Linked DNA regions of Macaca mulatta. The protein of the gene in region 1 interacts with the protein of each later gene in a pairwise test. Links are inferred from orthologs where the notes say so. Each region holds a gene or a part of one and is shown on either strand. Other genes may lie near its edges. The genes, in order: UTP14C, myomegalin, GOLGA2, TEX11 and PRICKLE1.

Region 1 (4,162 bases):
ACTTAAACCTGACTTCCAGGCTGAGATGCGGTACTGTCAAGCGATAACGAGACCCACACAAATGTGCTGATAGCACTAAACAAAAACAATTTTCACCAGTACCGGTATGGAAAGGACTGTTGGCAGCACCTTGGCCTCTACTGCCCTACACACACCTATAAAGCATCAGTCAGTCCCACCTCTTGACTGTATGCTTTGAGAACATGATTACACAAGTCTGTTTAAAATTTCTTTTTAAAGGAAATCATTAGGTATATTCAAAAGGGTCATCCACTGTATTGTTTAGAATGTAAATGTACCAGCATTTTTCTGTGTTCTAATGTCTGATCAATTCTAAAATGCTAGTCAATTAATGGTCATCCATTTTCTTTTTTTAAAAATGTGGCTCAACTACATGCAATGTGCTGAGCCAGTTCTGGAATCCACCCTGTAGCAGAGTAAAACTGGACCAAAGGAAGTGGAATCAGAACTCCTAGCTGTCACTTTTCCAGCTACTCAACCTACAGAGTTTTTCTTCAACTCTTTACTGTGACGTGTGGTGATTTGTTTTGGATTCCACTGTATGACAGACAGGTCTGACCTTGAGGAAGACCGGTAGCCCACATCCTCTGCTTTTATGGGCTTAATGATATGACCTGGCTTGGTGATGACCTTGGGAGTAGTCAGCTTTTGGAAAGCCCTCTGGGTGTTCCATGTGGATCCTACAGGGGTCTGGATGGTCCTTTCAAATTGCCGATGGTGGGTAAATGGATATGGAAGCACTTGTACCTGATGAGCTGCTGCGTGGATGTTGCGCTTCTCACTGATAATCACATTTGGCAAATTCTTATCTTTTCTTGGAGGACCCTCAGGGGCTTTGAGAAACTGGCGTCTTTTCTTGGTACTAGGCTTTAGGCCCACACCACCCCACTCGCCCCAGCCAGGTAGTGTCAGGTCCACGTCCTTTGGCTTACTCGCCTCCACAGCTTCTCTCTTCTCTTTCAAGAAATTTCTGATGACATCATCCCCAGCAAAAGCTTCCTTTATCATCTGCCTTTGGTCTCTCTCCTCTTCATCTTCCAGCTCCTCTATTGTTGTGGGAACTGCCAAAGACCTCACGGAAGGAGACTGTGTAGTTAGGAAGTTCTGTACGTTGATCAGTTGCTCCTTCTCTTTCTTCTCCTTAGGGGCATCAGGCCGATTATTTGGGGTCCTCTCTGACTGCTGCCCTTCTAACACAGGTCTGGGAAGCTCCTTATTTTGAAAACAATCTTCTTTTCCCAGCTCTTCTAGCTCTTCCACAGTTTGTACTCTCTCTGGCCTCTGTAGCAACAGGGGCGCCTCTTCTTCTGGGGCAGGTTCCTCTCTCTGGACCTGGGGAACAGTCCCCTCTGAACTTGCTTTTTGCTTCCTGGACTGATGGTTTTCCTTCAATTTCTGAGATAGTGCCCTCAATTCAGACAGCACCTCCTGGCTGCTAGAATCTTTTGTTTCTTGAATGCCTGCTGGCTCAGCATCCTGGTTGAGCTCAGATCTTTTTCTAAGGGATCGCCTCTCCTCAAAGTCTCTCAACAAAATTTCTTCCTCTGCCACTGGTCTTTCTCCCTCACTTTCAGAAACCTCATGGGTCGCAGGCTCTGGCAGTTGCTCAGGGTCCTCCTGGGTTGCAGCCTCTCTGGTGTCACTGGTGCAGCTTCTGAGCATCCAGGGATTCGGTCCTTCCACATTCATCTGGACTTCATTCACTACATGGGGGACAAGGAGTTCTTCCACTTCTTCTGTGCCTCCCTCCTCTTCCTCAATCTCAGAGGCTACCTGGAGTTTCTGTGTCAGTTCTTTGTTCTTGGCCAACTGTTCCTGCATAGCTTGGCGAGCCTCCAGGTCATATTTTGCCATAATTGCCTTTGACTTGGCCCATTTCCCACTGTTTTGGTGCTTAAGGCTCATTCTTTCCATCATTCTGGCATTTTCAAATTTTTCCAGTTCTTCCAATGCCACAGTTGGATTAACCTTCTGCAGCTGCTCCAACTCTTTTGAGGCTTTCCTGGCCTTTCCTTTCTTCACGACTTTGTGATACTTTTTACTTTTGATTTTCTTCTCTCTTCGAGCCTTGGCCTCATAGTAGGACTGCAGAGCCCGAGCCCTTTGAAGCTCTGCTCGGTGCATCTTTGCCTCTTCCAGACTCATGGCTCGGAGAGAGGCCTTTTCCATGGGAGTCAGTAAAGGGTCTGTTACTGGCTGCTTGTTCTTATGGAGGAGGTTAAAAATTTCCTGCTCCAGGGGAGTTCTTGCCTTCCAGCCACTGAGCGCATGTTCAATGGGAGCAATGGCTGGCTGCTCCTTCCCCAGGGGAAAAGCCAGCTGCTCTGCCTGCTGGTTCTTCAGGACGATAGGGTCCCATTTAGAGAGGACTTGTGAGGTTTTACCGAATGCTACTTCTCTGTGGATCTGTTCAATGTTTTCTTTGTTAAGAGGTAACTCCACCACCTTCTTTGATTTGACTCTATTCAGTTGCTTTTTCACAGTGGCCAAAGAAGAAGTAGTTTTAACAGGCTCAAGGAGATCTGCAAGGACCAGCTTTTCTCCTGATCCTTCAGAACTGACATTGAACTCTGACACTTTCAGACTAGCCTCAGACCTCTCAGCCAATTTCCGCCTATTCTTTCCATCAAGGGAACTGATTGCTTCCAGAAGCTTTTGATGCTTTCTCTCTCCATCACTGTCCCCCTCATCTTCATTCTCACTCAAGGGGCAGTTTTTTGGCAAATCCACTAATTCTTCCTGTTGGCTCAAAGCCAGAAGGCTCTCCGCAACCCGGTTCACATTCATCTCAGCAGCCAGCTTCTCTCATGTGTACCAAGAATGGAAGCTGAAGGCTAGTCATCCATTTTCTTTTCAACACTTCCTTTTATTCTAAAAGGAAATTTTCTTGTCTGTTTTCTAAAGTAAAATGATTTGACAAATGAGATTGAATTTAGAAAAATATTTACATATGAAGGTGTTTAACCAGTTTATATAAAATATCTTTAATTTTCCAGATATGGCATTACTTAAATAACTTTTCCACAGATGATAGGAATGTCACTTCAAATTCCTGATCAGAGAATCTGCTTACAGATGCACGAGCACTTTTTCTGATTTGGAGTCTCTTTTCTGCAGACATGGAAAGAATGTGAGCGATAGTTTCAGCATAGTCTTCTTCACTCTCAGCCAGAAAGCCAGTTATATCTCCTTCGTGAGGAACGACAATGTCAAGCTTTGGGCCCCCTGAATTGTGTGCAAGGATAATTGTGCCAGCTGCCATACACTCCACAACTCCTGAGAAAAAAACAAAAATCATGTAGTATTTTAAGTTTTTGAGTGTGTTCATAAGAATGAGGATGAACAGAAATCTTCAAAAATTTTAAGGGACTTATGAGAAACTTAATTGTCTATATGTCTAGACATTTGCTTATTTAACTTCTATAGTACAAAATAAAATAATTTTAAGTTTTTTAGTTTTCATAGCTTCATAATAATACAATTTTTTTTTTTTTTTTTTTTTTTTTTGGAGAGAGAGGGTCTCACTATGTTGCCCAGGCTGGCCTCTAACTCCTAGCCTCAAGTGGTCCTCCCATCTTGGCCTCCCAAAGTGCTGGGATTTACCAGCGTGAGCTACCACACCCAGCCTGCTGCTTTATTTTTAGTTAAAATAGACAAGTAGATGGAAGACTAACCTATTAAAAAAGATATATTGCAGATAATTAAAAAAGACTAGAGAATGTTAGCAAGATGGTAGAATATTAACAGGTATTAGAAAAACAAAAGGAGTAAAAAGATATCAAAAACAATTTTAATAGTTCAAATTACATTAGCAGAAAAAATAAAAAATGCGAATCACCTAAGTGAAGCATACTATTGCCGTGCTTATGTTACTGCCTGGATTTCTGGCATATTTGAGACTACTGCGTGCCCAACAACAGTGCTGAACTAAATGAAAGTTGTGGTTAGTTTCTGCCAAATGATACACATGAAATATAAATTAATCTAGCCAGCCTTTCTTAGCTGTATTCCTAGGAGAATTAAGCCCTTCAGAGAATGATTTAAGTGACTGCTTTCCCAATTATCTGAAGGATGGTACAGAGCTGGTATCATCCTGGATGTATAGGAGAGAAATTAAATAATTCCAAATGTTTCTAAACCA
Region 2 (4,313 bases), on another chromosome or scaffold:
CTCTCAAGTCAGGAAGAGAATTCTTTATTAAAAATGGCCGGAGGGCGCGGTGGCTTAAGCCTGTAATCCCAGCACTTCGGGAGGCCCAGGCGGGCGGATCAGGAGCTCAGAAGATCAAGACCATCCTAGCTAACACGGTGAAACCCCGTCTCTACTAAAAAAATATGAAAAATTAGCCGGGCGTGGTGGCGGGCGCCTGTAGTCCCAGCTGCTCGGGAGGCTGAGGCAGGAGAATGGCGTGAGCCCGGGAGGCGAAGGTTGCAGTGAGCCGAGATCGCGCCACTGCACTCAAAAAAAAAAAATGGCCGGAGGTACCTGCATCCCACCTAGTCAGGGCTCTAGCTTCCCTCCTCTTTGTGTGCAATCCAAGTTTTAGACCCAAGGGTGGAGGACCTACCACTGTACAGTGCTGAGTAAGACAGGGTTCTCACCGAAGTCAGCGAAGTTCCCAGTCCTTTCTGGCGCGAGCTGCATTCCCAGACACTCCAGCTCTTGCCGAAAGGAGCTCCGTCTTTTGCGCTAGTGTTTGTCTACCCTCCCCTGCCCTAAAATAATGAATGCCCTCTACCTGAGGGAGAGACTTCAGTGGCGGTAATCTACTCGCGGCTGGCTGCATCCTTGAAAAAGCACATTTCCCTTCTACTATCTTCAAGATCTTGGTTAACCAGATTCACATTGTATTTGCAGGACGCTTTCTCAGGTGACTGCTCAGTGCTCTTTTTTACCGAAAGTAGGGCAAAGTCCCCCAAGGGTGCTAACCCTCCCCCACCCACATCAAGGAAGAAACAGTCCTCTACTCTTTTCTGGACATTCCGGTTCAGAGTCGAGGTAAGGGTTGCACGGCCCCGCCCCACCCGCCCCTCCGTTACCAAGCCTTCCCCCGCCCGCCTCGCAGTCTCAGGGCCTTAGAACCCAGGCGGGGCGAGGCCGGGAGAGGTGGGGCTGCTGGCTGGAGGCGGCGGCGGCGCGCAGCGGTACCTAGCGGCGCTGCCCGGCTGGCAGCCGGAGGACGTGGCACTGTCCGAGGATCCAGGGGGAGGGGATTCGGCCTTCTCCTCCCCGCGAGGAGGAGCCTCGGGACATCCTGCAGAGGCGGGAGGATCCTTGAGGGCACTGGTGCGCCTTTCAGGTGAGCTCTTAGCAGATAAAAGCGGCTGGCTGTGGTCCGCGCCAGTAGTGCTTTCTGCTCTGCACTCCCAGTGAGCCAGGTGCGCAACCGGAGTGGGGGCGAGGGGCGTGCTGGCCACCCCGCATGCGCAGAGCCGGGAGCCCGCTGAGCGGACTACAGCTCCCAGAGGAGCCTTGTGGAAGCCGCAGACGTGGAGCCGCTGGCGCCATCTTGAAATCTGATCCTCAATCCCCGAGCCTTTGAGTCTGCGCGGCCGGCCGCTGCTGCTCCGGGAGCCCAGTCTGTTAAAAGGGTAGGACGTTGAGGACGCGGCGGCTGGCGGGAGAGACAGCTGGGGAGAGACATGGCAGGGTCGGAGCGCGGCCTGCGCCTCTGTCACTCAGCATCCTCTTAGACGTTTCCACGCCCGCCCCCTGCCCAAGGGGCGGGGCTGACGGCTGTGGTACCCGGAGCCGGCGCACGGGGTAGGGGTGCACCCCTGCAGAGTGAGGACCCCACTGGGCTGTGCCATGCTGACTGGAGACCACTGAGGCGGGAGACAGAGCGCGGCGAAGAGCCATTGAGTGGTCATCCAGTAGCCGCCGCCGCCGCCGCCTCAGGAAGCTTGGCACCCGCTAGGAGGGAAGATGAAGGAGATTTGCAGGATCTGTGCCCGAGAGCTGTGTGGAAACCAGCGGCGCTGGATCTTCCACACAGCGTCCAAGCTGAACCTCCAGGTTCTGCTTTCGCACGTCCTGGGCAAGGATGTCCCCCGCGATGGCAAAGCCGAGTTCGCTTGCAGCAAGTGTGCTTTCATGCTTGATCGAATCTATCGATTCGACACGGTTATTGCCCGGATCGAAGCTCTTTCTATTGAGCGCTTGCAAAAGCTGCTACTGGAGAAAGATCGCCTCAAGTTCTGCATTGCCAGTATGTATCGGAAGAATAACGATGACTCTGGCCCGGAGGTCAAGGCGGGGAATGGGACGGTTGACATGTCTGTCTTACCTGATGCGAGATACTCTGCACTGCTCCAGGAGGACTTCGCCTATTCAGGGTTTGAGTGCTGGGTGGAGAATGAGGATCAGATCCAGGAGCCACACAGTTGCCATGGTTCGGAAGGCCCTGGAAACCGACCCAGGAGATGCCGTGGTTGTGCAGCTTTGCGGGTTGCTGATTCTGACTATGAAGCCATTTGTAAGGTACCTCGAAAGGTGGCCAGAAGTATCTCCTGTGGCCCTTCTAGCAGGTGGTCGACCAGCATTTGCACTGAAGAACCAGCGTTGTCTGAGGTTGGGCCACCCGACTTAGCAAGCACAAAGGTACCCCCAGATGGAGAAAGCATGGAGGAAGAGACGCCGGGTTCCTCTGTGGAATCTTTGGATGCAAGCGTCCACGCTAGCCCTCCACAACAGAAAGATGAGGAGACTGAGAGAAGTGCAAAGGAACTTGGAAAGTGTGACTGTTGTTCAGATGATCAGGCTCCGCCGCATGGGTGTAATCACAAGCTGGAGTTAGCTCTTAGCATGATTAAAGGTCTTGATTATAAGCCCATCCAGAGCCCCCGAGGGAGCAGGCTTCCGATTCCAGTGAAATCCAGCCCACCTGGAGCCAAGCCTGGCCATAGCATGACAGATGGAGTTAGTTCCGGGTTCCTTAACAGGTCTTTGAAACCCCTTTACAAGACACCTGTGAGTTACCCCTTGGAGCTTTCAGACCTGCAGGAGCTGTGGGATGATCTCTGTGAAGATTATTTGCCGCTCCGGGTCCAGGTATACAAAACGGCTACACAGTGCCTTTCTGATTATAGCTAGCTGGCCTCTGGCTTCACATGATTTCGGTCTAGGTGGAGGTTAGTAATATTCTAGACTTGAGAAAATTAGTCATGAGCCCATTTTTGCTGCACCTTTTCTGTGTCTCATTTAGTAAACGTGATTCGTACTCAGATAATTTGCTTTTCACAGTCTTTGTAAAATCTGTTGGCCTTCCCATTATCAAAATTGTATACCTTTTAAAACAAAAAGGTAAAGATTCCCACTTCACTTTTATCCTGTAAAAAGAAGACATTTAATCTCATTTCTGGCACTAGAACTTTTCCTCTTATCTCCTTTTTTTTTTTTTTTTTTTAACAACTTTTAAAATTTGTTCTTGTTTTCAGATTTATAGACGTTTCCTCCCAATGGCTTTCTGTAAGGCAGTTAGTTCTCTAGTTAGTTCTTCCCAGAGCATTGAAGCTTTCATCCGCAAAATGCCTGTAAATGATTAGAGCATAAGGTAAAAGGTTTGGGGGAAACCTATTAATCCACCAGTAAAGTATTATAACATCTGGACAATATTTATTATAATGAATAGTTCATTTGAGGATTAGTGATGACTCATTCATAAAAGAGACAGGAATTCAAGTATTCAAGTACAGTATTGTCACTCAAAACGTTAAGGCATAAACTGTTCACAGCCAGAACTCTGCTGAGTTCTACTGGAAGATATTTGATATTAAGAAAGGATTAACCCATTATTGGATCAGAGGAGAGTTTCATTCATTATAGTCTTGAATTCTTAATGACTAGAGGATGGCAGTTGCTTAATTTGAACCATTCATGTCTGCCCAATTGATTCTATACCAACCTTTTAAAATCAGCTATGGTAGTTTGTTTCTATAGCAACAGTAAATGCTAGGTTCAGTTAACTTTGTGAAACATACTGGCATGTTCCTCTTGATACAACTTATTTAGCGATACTGTCACAAAGGTAGATGTGATCTAGAAGGCATTTTTAGAAAGCCTGCTACTGGTCAACATCATTCCAGAAATTTAGAGCTTGATAAGTAACATTGTTGATGGTCACATGAAACTTTTGGAAAGTAGTTCTGTGGTATGTATACTTTCTTTCACAATAAGAACCTAAGCAGAAAACAGGAGAAAAGTTTTTAAATTTACACAAAATTATGAGTAGCAGCATAGATGAGAAACAGCAGAGATGAAAGTGTCATGAAAGGTAAAAAGTCAGTGCGTTTTCATTTGTATAAAATGTATGTACTTCTTTTCTTTTGCTTTTCCTTTCAGTGGAGCCTCAGCTGAATTTGGGCTTTACAGTATTTCTGGACCAGACATAGGTGTTACAAATTAAACATGGTGTTTTCTTATTAGGGTCTAAAATTAGTTGGGCCAGGATGAATGGGAAATAAACTCGTCTCCCCAACCCGCCA
Region 3 (3,513 bases), on another chromosome or scaffold:
TTAGAAGACCTCTAGAACCAGAGGCTTGGGTCAAGAGTAAGGCCAGAGCCTCGAGAGAGGCCGGGTGGGGCTCTGATCAAGCAGGTAGGTCCAGTTGGGGGCGAGGGAGAGGCTCCATGTGACCCCAAGTTCTGAATCCTAGGATTGTCCCCAGGTACAATTCCCAGGAAAGAGGCCCCATAACTTCCAAGTTGCCAGGAGCCATAGGGCAGATGTCTTACCTCTGTTTTCTTGGGTGGTTTCTTGGTTGGGTAGATGTTTTTGGAGGTAAGAGGTTGGGGTGGGGGTGGTAGCCATGGTTTATTCTCCTTTTACCTCCAGATAGTTGGGGAGAGGCTTCTAGTTGGGTAATTTTTTTTTTTTTTCCTGGAAAGGTCTGAATCAGAAACACAGCCAATAGGCCAGGTTCAATGGCTCACACTTGTAATCTCAACACTTTGGGAGACCAAGGTGGGAGGATCACTTGAGCCCAGGACTTTGAGACCAGCCTGGGCAAGATGGCGAGACCACATCTCTATAAAAATTAGCTGAGCATGGTGGTGTGCTCCTGTAATCTCCGCTACTAGGGAGGCTGAGGTGGGAGCATTGCTTGAGCCCAGGAGGTGGAAGCTGCAGTGAGCTATGATTGTGCCACTGCAGGGGAGAAGGGAAGGGAGGAAAGGAGGAGAGAAGCAGGCAGATAGCTACATTGCCCAGACAACTACTTCCTCATCACCATCCTCTGCCCACTAGGGGCCCAGTTAGGGTCACTCTGCAGCACAGACTGGCCTTCTGGAAGAACAGTGCCTTTCTCCTCCCTGACTTTGGCACACCTTCCTCCCACCTGCTGTGGCTGCCACAGGTCAGTGCCTGCTGCTGTCTTTTGCTGAGCTCCAGAGAGAGCGAGGTCCTCGTGTTCATGAAGGAGGCCGTGCAGCCCCTGCTTTGAGCTTTGGCCATCTGAAATGCTGCCTAGCAGCCCAAGGCCTGGGCAACCATATCCACACCCCTGAGTGGCTCCTAGCATGTGTGACTGTCACTGACTGCAGCAACACCTGTCCTACCTGTTCCACACCCTTGTGTTCATGGCACTGAGGCACCTTCTATCCCGCATGGCCCCCTAACCCCCTGCTCTGTTCTGTGACAGACACCCAAGGACAATGCTGATTCTCTACAACCGTCTGATGACACTGTGTTACCTGGCGGTGTCCCTTCCCCTGGTGCCAGTCTCACTAGCATGGCGGTATCTCAGGTTTGTGCCTCCTCCCCCTCTGCCTACTCCCCTCCTGTACCTACTATGGATTATCTTCTCTTTTCACAGGTAGCTTGTTCCCTAGGGCCAAGGGCTCTTCCTGGGGAATGGGCTGGGGGAAGGCTCAGACTAGGCTTTTTCTTGAGGTCTGGGGATATGGAAGATTGTTGGAATGAGTTTGGGAGCTTGACTCACCCTGTCCTGGGTGATTCTTAGCAGACATTGAATGACCATCTCATACGTTTCTTCCCACACAGAATCATGATGCTGACAATGTCCCTAATCTCATGGATGAAACTAAGTGAGTGTCTCCTGTTGGGGCAGCAGTCTCTAGGCCGAGAGAGTCAGGGAGGCCACTGCCCATGACCTTCTTTCCCATTGAGCCACCTGCACCCCTGACCCCTGTGTCTCCATCCCTAGGACTTTCTCATCAACCGAGAGCCTGCGACAACTCTCCCAACAGCTCAATGGTCTTGTTTGTGAGGTACCTCAGGAATTGAGGCCCAGAGTGGGGTGCGGGGGGAAGGGAACTATGATAGAAAGAAACTGAGGCAGGGATTCACAAGAGAGGGAAGATCCTGGACCAGCCAATGTGCTGGGCAATGTTGAGGAAGTCGGCTTTTCCCTGAGCTTTCTCCCTTGAAGTTGTGCACATGAAGGAGTTGGACCCTGTGACTGGTTGCATCATTTTATCCTGCTGCAGAAGCACTGGATGAGAGGTGCTCGGGAGGGAAGGATGGTGGGGAAATAAGAACCATGAGAGAAGTTGGCACAAAGGGGTTACGGGACAAAGGGTCCAAGTTAGAAGAGAAAATGTTGCCAATTGCTGGGGAAGAAAGGAAGTCAGAGGGCTTAGACACTGAGGGGACAGAACATCTCCATGTGCACTCTCGTCTCTTATAGTCTACGACATGTGTGAATGGGGAGGGCCCTGCATCATCTGCTAACCTGAAGGATCTGGAGGTAAGAGGCCCTGGGCCGTGGCCCAGTGACCCTGCAGGCCAGCCCTCCAACCTCCTCCCATAGCGGGGGCTGGGTGCCCCTCTGCCAGCTGAGACAGCCCACACACCCCCCAACCCTAATGATTGCTCTCTCTACCTCTCCCCCCAATCCTCCTCCAACTCCTCCTCTCTGCATGCGCCTCAGAGCCGGTACCAACAGCTAGCGGTAGCCCTGGACTCCAGCTATGTAACAAACAAACAACTCAATATCACGATAGAGAAATTGGTAAGAGTCCAGTGGGGTCCCCTGATTCCACGCTGCTAATCCTGGGCTCCAGTTTCCCCTTGGGACCCTGAAGAAAGGGGCAGGGGGCCCCTGGTGCCAAGGGCGAATGGGGAGCTGGGGGGCCCAGGCCTCAGCTGGAGGGACCCCAGAGCACGGAGCATGCAGCATGGCTCTTCTGTTGCTGCCCTCTTTGCCTACTCTCTCTTCTCTAGACACCCCTGCTCGAGTCCTTGCCACACATGCCCTGGGATTGTTGCCTCTTGGGGAAGCACTAGCCTGACTGGTTGTCAGGAGCCCCGTATTTCCACCCTGACTCAGTCCTTAATTTGCTCTTGGATTCGGGACAAGCCACCTCTCCTTCTTGGGCTTGCATTTCCTGAGGAGGTAGAGTTAGAGAGTATCAAAGGTCTCTTAGCTCTGAGCGTTGAAGATTTAAAGGCCCACTAGAATGTAAACCTCAGGGCCAAGGGCTCCTGTCTGTCTTTTTCTGTCTGATATCCCTGCTATTAAGAACTGTACCTGGCCTATATGTGCTCAGCAAATGTTTGTTGAATGAATACACCTTTCTAAATCACAAACTGGCAGAGGGTGGGCTTTTCTCACACTCCATCTCTAGAGGTTTATGTTACTGTCCTTTCAAGAGAATCCAGATTCAGACTTTCAGTTCTGTGGTTGTGGGCAAAAACCAACAAAGACACAAATCCCCTTTCCTTGGGAGCCTGAGGAGAGTTGAGCAGTTCGTGTTCCCATTGGGTCTGAGAACTTTGCCTTTAAAATCCATTCCTGGCTCCTGCCTACCCCTTCCTGGTCTGGGGAATAGGGTTGAGGGGGCCACCCTCAGTCACCTTCCTTTGACTCTTCCCCACAGAAACAACAGAACCAAGAAATTACGGATCAGTTGGAAGAAGTAACGTGATTTCTTTGTTTGCTCACAACATGACAGCTGGGTTTGGGGGGCACTCAAATGTAGAGGCCTCAGTCTCGTCTCACCCGCTCCCAGCCTGGGGAAGAAGGCTCACCCCCCAAGATTCCACCCCATCCCCACAGGGTCCCTG
Region 4 (3,513 bases), on another chromosome or scaffold:
GCACAAATCATTAAAATTTAAAACAGAAAACAGTAGATAAAGTCAATGAAACCAAAAGTTTTTTTTCTTTTGAAACAATACAATTGATAAACCTCTAGCTAGGCAAATCAAGCACAAATTAACAATATCAGGAATAGATGTGGAGACCTCACTAGAGATCCTACAGACATTTTAAAAGGTAGTAAGAGAATATTTTGAACACTTTTATGTCCATGAATTTAGAATTTTAGGTGAAATGTACAAATTTCTTGAAAGTCACAAACTACCATAGCTCCCTCAAGAAGAAATATATACTCCTATGCCTATTAATTAAATTCATAGTTTAAAATCTTCCAACAAAGAAAACTGCACTGAAGAATTCTACCAAACATTTAAAGAAGATGTAATACCAACTCTATATAAACTCATCCAGAAAGGAGGGCACAATTCCCAGTTCATCTTATAAGACTATTATCCTGATACCAGTAGTAGACAAAGACAATGTAAGATACTGCAGACCAAGATTCCTCATGAAAATAGATGCAAAACATAGATGCAGAAAAGTAAAGATAGTTGCTACCTTGGTTGGATGGTATTGACCGGAAAGGAGCACAAAGGAACCTTCTGTATAGTTTTAAGTGTTTGTTATCACAATCTAGGTAGTTATTACACGGGTTTAAACACATGTAAAAACTCGTCAAGCTGTTTAAGGTTAGAGTACTTCTTTCAGTTTGTTGTCTATATGTCATACCTCAAAACATTTTTCAATGTTCAATCTACCAAGAAGGATGAATGAAAACTGTCTCACGTAGTTTGGTGTATGACACCTGACATGAAATTCTTTCTATGCTGATGCCCAAGAAATTCTGTCGACTAATGAAACAGTTTGGAAACTCTCCTCTATTCTACTTAAAATAAAATCACTGTTAGTTTATACAGCACTGTATCTTCTGGTTAACTCAACCATTAGGGTGAGCACCAGCCCAGTTGAAAGTTCACAAGAAGCAAGTAAACATTGGATTTGAATTAGAATCAATAATATCTGCGGGTTTTCTCAGGCTGATTAGAAGCATCGTGGCAATTGTTTGAGAAAATATAGGTAGTTCTAGTGAATGCACTACAGAATGTTGGAAGTAGTGTTGAGCTTGTAGATTTAAAATGTGTTAGAATCAAATAAAAAACCAAAAATAAAATTTAGAATCTGTCTACAGCAGTGAAGTTGACCTTCAAATTGTAAGTAAAATTAATTTTTCTTAGAAGGAAAACCTCTCCAGTTAGTGAGATTACAACCAAAGAGAATAATAAAATATAATCACAAAGAATGTTGCATTTTTGCCTCTTTCTTAGGGACCTTCTCAAATGATTCATGTGAGAAATTGCTTCTGCTGTACGAGTTTGAAGTTAGAGCCAAATTGAATGATCCATTACTGGAAAGCTTCCTGGAATCAGTGTGGGAGCTGCCTCATTTAGAAACTAAAACATTTGAAACAATTGCAAGTAAGAGCTATATTTATGCTTTTGTAAGGCTGGTGGCCATTTCTATCGTATGACTTTTTTTCTTCTCTTTACTCCTCTTTCTTACCTCCAGGTAGGAAATAATTTTTCCTCATAGCACTTTGTTTCTCCTTCTCTAACGCCATTCTTAGACTATTTTGTATTATGATCATTTGTGCATTTATCTTCTTCACTCTATGAGATTATAATCTCTTTAGGGTCATAAACAATAATTATTTAATTTGTACTTACAAACCCTAGCGACGTTCATTGCTCCTAATAGGTGCTCAAATTTTTTCTGTGTGGAATTTAATTGTGTAACTACACAATAGGGGGAGCTCAAACTTTAGAAAGTTTTTCTGGGCTAGCTAGAAATAACTGAATGCTTCAACAATCAAAAGTGATGCAATCTTAGCAGTTTGCTGAAATGTACAGAGAAATACTGGTAATATTTTTTAACACAACTGCCACTCTCAAATTTCGGGCTGAACTTTAAGTGGGTTTGGGGGCTTAGAGCCTCTTTGGGAGTACACTGCAGGAAACAGCCTAATTTTCTTCCCTTTTTGTCTCTCACCCTCTTCAGGAGCATGTGTGTGGTTAATAAAAATATTAGGTAGCTCCAAGTGCACAAGAGTCACATTTGCCTTTCCTTGGTCTTGCCAAGACAGAATTCCTAGAGCCATGGAGCAGATGATATATACTTTATAGACATGTGACAGTGACCACTGCTCCTTGTATAACGGAACTCCAATTCTAAAAATCTGTTAAATGCATGTGGAAGTCTTAGGGTTAGTTACCTCTGATACTCCCTTGTCAAGTGTTTCCTATTTTTAGTATCAGATAAAAATAGGACATTTTAGTACAAACCTGTTTTGATTAGTGCCCTTTTACTGATCTGCTTTCTGTTTCCTTCTTAGTGTGCCCTTCCTTGACTCTCATTCATAAGATTATTGCTTCACCTGTATGACTGAGTGCAAGGTCATAGAAACAGTAGGTTTTCTGTTGATGTTTGCTGAATAAAGGATGTTACCTGGTAATCCCACCGTGCTACTCTACCCAGAAAATAGAAGCTATTTCCAAAAGCAACTGTAGATTTATCATTTATAAAATTCATTGTTGTTTATTTTTGTTCATCTGTTTCAGCCCAGTTTCATTAGAGAAAGCAAGTGGTAGCCTGGGATGAAAACTGTGATGGGTGACATTATGATGTTCACAACCTTTTTCCTTTTCTTCCTCTAGTAATAGCAATGGAAAAGCCTGCACACTATCCTTTCATTGCTCTCAAGGCCTTGAAAAAGGCCTTATTGCTCTACAAAAAGGAAGAGTCAATTGATGTATCACAATACAGGTTAGTAAATACAATTCAAAACTTAATCCAGCCTTTTTGATAGCCAAAAGAACTATAGTCAATGCCTCATAAGTAACCAATCATTCTTAATTGACCCAACTTAAGAGATGATCTGGGGATGATCTGGGGGCACTCCTGTGGACAGCTCCATGCTGAGAGTTGTATTACAGACCAATAATCATTTAGCAAAGTCAAGGAGCTTGCTTTTCCCAAAGGAGAAAAAAAAAGGGGAAAAGTTGCTTCTTTGTGTGAATCTGTGTATATAATAAAACTGCTAAGTACCTTTCTTTCTTTGTTTCATCACTAAATAATATTCCAAATGTACAAAAAAGTACAGAGGTTAATATAACAAACACCAACGTATCCACCACCCAGATGTATTTGTTTTATTTTTAGAGATGGAGTCTCGTGTTGTTGCCCAGGCTGGATTCAAACTCCTGGGCTCAAACGATTCTCCACCTCAGCTTCATGAGTAGCTGGGATTACAGGCACACAGCACCCAAATTTAACAAATGTTAACATTTTGCTATGTTTGCCTCATTATTTTTCTAAGCACTTTAAGCACTGATAAGTGCTGTATAAAATATTATCTATTGGAGACTTTTTTGTTTTCTGTGTCCAGACATGGGGAAAACTAGATGTTGTGTGACTTTTTTGTCTGGAAAACATCATTACAGTCTCCCTGTGTTAAG
Region 5 (3,513 bases), on another chromosome or scaffold:
AACACCACACTGAGTGCACAGTCTTTCTCACCAGTTCTCTACTTCCAGAGTTAGGGTTTCAGGAAATAAAATAGTAAGTTTAGCTCGCCTGTGTCACACCTCCACGATTTTAAAATGACACCATATCCGAATTTTACAGCCTCTCTAGAAAAAGGGAAATGCAGCGTGAAGGAATAGTCTTTTTTTTTTTTTTTTAAATAAGAAATGTTTAATTGAAAACCCTTATCAGCACAGACATTAAAAAAAAAATAGGACATTAACCTTTCCACAAAAGGTTTAAACTTGTTAACTGCCACTTTTACTCTCCATTCTACATGCACTCAACTCAACTGCAGGCCTGAATGACCATAAAGCATTCACTCTGGATGCAGGGGCAGGGAAATCTCCGGCATTTGTAGGTTCCTGATCATTGGTGGGTGGCTGCAAACACTATAAAAACCAACTTGTGTTAAGTTGATTACACTGATACTCTTTTCTCTCTTCTCTCAAAGAATGGAAAGCTGTATTCTCTGGCCAAATTTTAACTAAAGAAAGGCAAAAGAGAGCCCTCACCAGTGAGGATATGGGGTTTATGAGCAGCATCTCAATGCTTCTCATGCATTTTTTTCTTTTTTCTAATTAGCCTTCTTCCGGCTATTTTACCTCATTATCATGTGGTGGTAACTGGTACAAAAGCTGTTTAATCCGATGCTTCTCTCCAGGGCTGTTAACGTAAGGAACCTTTTCCTCTGGTAAGCAAGCAAAATAGAGCTGGATCTGCATAAGAGACAGTGAGAATGGCATCAGTATACAGAACTGAGCATTTCAGCTCACTTAATCTTTAAAAGTTACCTTTCCCTAGGTACAGGGTTTGGCCTCTTGTAGCTAATGAGAAGACCAGCTGAGCCAACTCAGCAGAACTGCAAACCTTCAGATAACTAGCACCCAGCTGCTAAATTGCTCTTCAGGAATGTAATTTGTAGTGAAAATTAGGGACATCATAAATTATGCACCATAAAATATGCACATTTAAGACTACTCTTCCTGGTGCTGTGGCTCACGCCTGTCATCCCAGCACTCCGGGAGGCCGAGGCAGGTGGATCACCTGAGGTCAGGAGTTTGAGACCAGCCTGGCCAACGTGGTGAAACCCTGTCTCTACTAAAACTACAAAAATTAGCTGGGTGTGGTGGTGCACACCTGTAATCCTAGCTACTCGGGAGGCTGAGGCAGGAGAATCGCTTGAACCCAGGAGGCGGAGGTGGCAGTGAGCCGAGATCGCGCCACTGCACTCCAGCCTGGGGGACAGAGGAAGACTCCATCTCAAAAAAAAAAAAAAAAAAAAAAAAGACTACTCTTCCTCAGCCAATCTTCCAACGGGTCAGCTAAGAGATCAGCAAGAGAGAGAGTCCTGGGTGAATTGTGCAAATTACCATACCACATTATGTGACATGGCCCCAAATCCACCCAGTACACAAACACACTGAATTTGCTCTCTGAATTTTACACATCACAAAGACAAAAGCTGTTTAGCTAAATGTTGTAAACTCTTCTTTATCAGGTGCTCTCAAACATCAGCTTTCTTTGCTTCCATGTATGCTATTTTCTGAATACCTGAAGTCAGTCTCCCCAGGGAAATTGGAGAGAAGCCATATTGAGCTGTACTTTGCTCATTCTGAAAGGAAAACTTAATTTCTGCCTGTTTGTGTTCTGATATCTTTAAAGGAACATCCCTTAATGAGTACTGCAAAGGATACTGCAGAGCTGAGAAGGAATAAATGAAAAAAAAAAAAGACATGAGACAGGAATTTAGGGCCTGTCTACTTCAATACCTTAGTACCACACAAAACCTACCCACCCTAGATGTAAGAAGGGATTCTCTCTAAGTAGTTTGTCCAAATACTGCTTTTCTAACTGCTTCACCAGTACTCCACCCTCTCCCCATTCTATCAGCTCTAGAAGCTTTTTACAGTTATAAACACTTACTGAATATCAGCTACATGCGTGCCAGGTACTGTGCTATGCCATGGATAAATAAGGATACCCTATTCTCAAAAAATGTCCCCCCCTACAGGAAACAGAACCCTAACTCAGAGCAAAGCAACCACACACCCCACTGTCAACTTTATTTTCAAATGATGCCTTTGCTCTTTTAATAATATCACGTGATTTTCAACAAGTTAATCATTGTAAAGATATTGGGAAAATTAAATAGGCATATGGAATGTTCTCATCTTCCTTAAAATAACAACACAAACAAAGCATAAAATTAACTCTCTAATTTTTTTTCCCAATCTCTGGTGTAAGTGACAGGCTCTTTTATATGCAAAGTTATCAAAGGTCAAATGTCTAAGCAGTAACACTTCAGAGGGTTTCTGATAGCTTGCCATCTCGCTTCCAAAGCAAAAGCATTGCTGAGAACTGGCATGGAAACTTTTTTCTTTTATTGCCTTTTTGTTGTCACAGAAGTTTTTCAAAAGGTAAATTCTTCTCACTCTCAAGAGGGATTCATCCGAAATACATATAACCAATGCATATGTAGTACTCCGGATTTCATTCATTAGAGCAAAAATGGGATCCTTATGAGGCTTCTGGAACCATGGGGTACGACGAGACTGGAAACTTCCATTGAGAAACTAAATATGACCTTCAAAAGTAAAACTTCAAAGCCATACAAAGAAGAATAAGGACTGAGGAGGGTGGTATTCCAGCATCTCAGTGATGTTCTATCCATTTGCAAAATAATGTTCTGAAGTCTGAACTCACACTGAAAAACAAAGAGTAAATATAGGATGATGACGTTCCTACCTGCTCTGGTCTCAGGCCCGGGGGAACCCAGGCATACTCCTCCAACGCACAGCCAGAGTCATCATCTGATGTGGAACTTCTCTGACAGCCAAAGGCCAGCTTGCTCATTTTGGGCTCCATCTCCAAAGGCATAGAGTTTAAAGCCTGGTTTCTCAGGCACAGGACATCAAACAATGGCTGCTGTGGACAATATAAGAAAAAACAAAGACATCTAAAACCTGAATGCATGTCTCTTACTCTGACCCAGAGCTTTTACTGAATGCTGTTAACACACAGCTGGGCCCAGAGAAAGTAACCAAATTACTACTGTCACCAACCCCCAGCCCCCAGGCCCCCTGAAATTCAAAATTTAGAGCTATATAATTTGGTAGTAGTCCCTTTGCCAGCTCAGAATTTCAGAACATGCCACCAAAGCTAGTTTATTTCCAGGAGCCTTTAAAAGGTGCCTCTCTATAGCCAATTCCTTAGAAAAGTTCTCAAGAAAGTTGATGTGTTGACTTTCCAACTTGCCCGCAAATCCTTGTGACATCCTATAAGTTGTAGAAGGAAGTGTCAGGGATCAGGCCATCTGCCTTGCCCACTACTATGCCCCATGAAAAATGGCTCAAGACCCCCACTCAGTCCCCCGTATTTCCTAAGCAATTTTTCCAACTGAGGCAGTGCTGCCTTCTGAGAGTGGGTCCTCTCAGCCAAACTGCTTAGGTTTCAGGTTTCTAATTATGTTTTGT

Evidence for each region.
Region 2: the proteins of UTP14C (region 1) and myomegalin interact in a two-hybrid assay, tested with the Homo sapiens proteins (2 studies listed by BioGRID and IntAct). The two-hybrid records come from large-scale screens. The link is inferred for Macaca mulatta from reciprocal best matches to the Homo sapiens genes UTP14C and PDE4DIP.
Region 3: the proteins of UTP14C (region 1) and GOLGA2 interact in binary tests that used the Homo sapiens proteins (3 or more experiments, as listed by UniProt). The two-hybrid records come from large-scale screens. The link is inferred for Macaca mulatta from reciprocal best matches to the Homo sapiens genes UTP14C and GOLGA2.
Region 4: the proteins of UTP14C (region 1) and TEX11 interact in binary tests that used the Homo sapiens proteins (3 or more experiments, as listed by UniProt). The two-hybrid records come from large-scale screens. The link is inferred for Macaca mulatta from reciprocal best matches to the Homo sapiens genes UTP14C and TEX11.
Region 5: the proteins of UTP14C (region 1) and PRICKLE1 interact in a two-hybrid assay, tested with the Homo sapiens proteins (2 studies listed by BioGRID and IntAct). The two-hybrid records come from large-scale screens. The link is inferred for Macaca mulatta from reciprocal best matches to the Homo sapiens genes UTP14C and PRICKLE1.

Annotation. Positions count from the first base shown.
Region 1 is NC_133422.1:31,264,742-31,268,903, reverse strand, and holds the start of UTP14C (U3 small nucleolar RNA-associated protein 14 homolog C), read right to left. Parts: upstream 2,809-4,162; coding exon 496-2,808; 3' UTR 1-495. Other genes in the region: ALG11 (GDP-Man:Man(3)GlcNAc(2)-PP-Dol alpha-1,2-mannosyltransferase), read right to left, coding at 3,026-3,297. UniProt on the Homo sapiens protein: Essential for spermatogenesis. May be required specifically for ribosome biogenesis and hence protein synthesis during male meiosis.
Region 2 is NC_133406.1:119,949,120-119,953,432, reverse strand, and holds the start of myomegalin, read left to right. Parts: upstream 1-1,507; 5' UTR 1,508-1,564; coding exon of another isoform or gene 1,565-1,640; 5' UTR 1,641-1,755; coding exon 1,756-2,880; intron 2,881-4,313. Other genes in the region: uncharacterized protein LOC144338663, read right to left, coding at 979-1,507, 1,565-1,640. UniProt on the Homo sapiens protein: Functions as an anchor sequestering components of the cAMP-dependent pathway to Golgi and/or centrosomes.
Region 3 is NC_133420.1:19,418,371-19,421,883, forward strand, and holds part of GOLGA2 (golgin subfamily A member 2), read left to right. Parts: intron 1-1,126; coding exon 1,127-1,231; intron 1,232-1,488; coding exon 1,489-1,532; intron 1,533-1,651; coding exon 1,652-1,715; intron 1,716-2,134; coding exon 2,135-2,194; intron 2,195-2,377; coding exon 2,378-2,458; intron 2,459-3,326; coding exon 3,327-3,365; intron 3,366-3,513. UniProt on the Homo sapiens protein: Peripheral membrane component of the cis-Golgi stack that acts as a membrane skeleton that maintains the structure of the Golgi apparatus, and as a vesicle thether that facilitates vesicle fusion to the Golgi membrane.
Region 4 is NC_133426.1:77,070,257-77,073,769, reverse strand, and holds part of TEX11 (testis-expressed protein 11), read left to right. Parts: intron 1-1,326; coding exon 1,327-1,476; intron 1,477-2,712; coding exon 2,713-2,821; intron 2,822-3,513. UniProt on the Homo sapiens protein: Regulator of crossing-over during meiosis. Involved in initiation and/or maintenance of chromosome synapsis and formation of crossovers.
Region 5 is NC_133416.1:49,413,944-49,417,456, forward strand, and holds part of PRICKLE1 (prickle-like protein 1), read right to left. Parts: intron 2,966-3,513; 5' UTR 2,918-2,965; coding exon 2,786-2,917; intron 757-2,785; coding exon 643-756; intron 1-642. UniProt on the Homo sapiens protein: Involved in the planar cell polarity pathway that controls convergent extension during gastrulation and neural tube closure.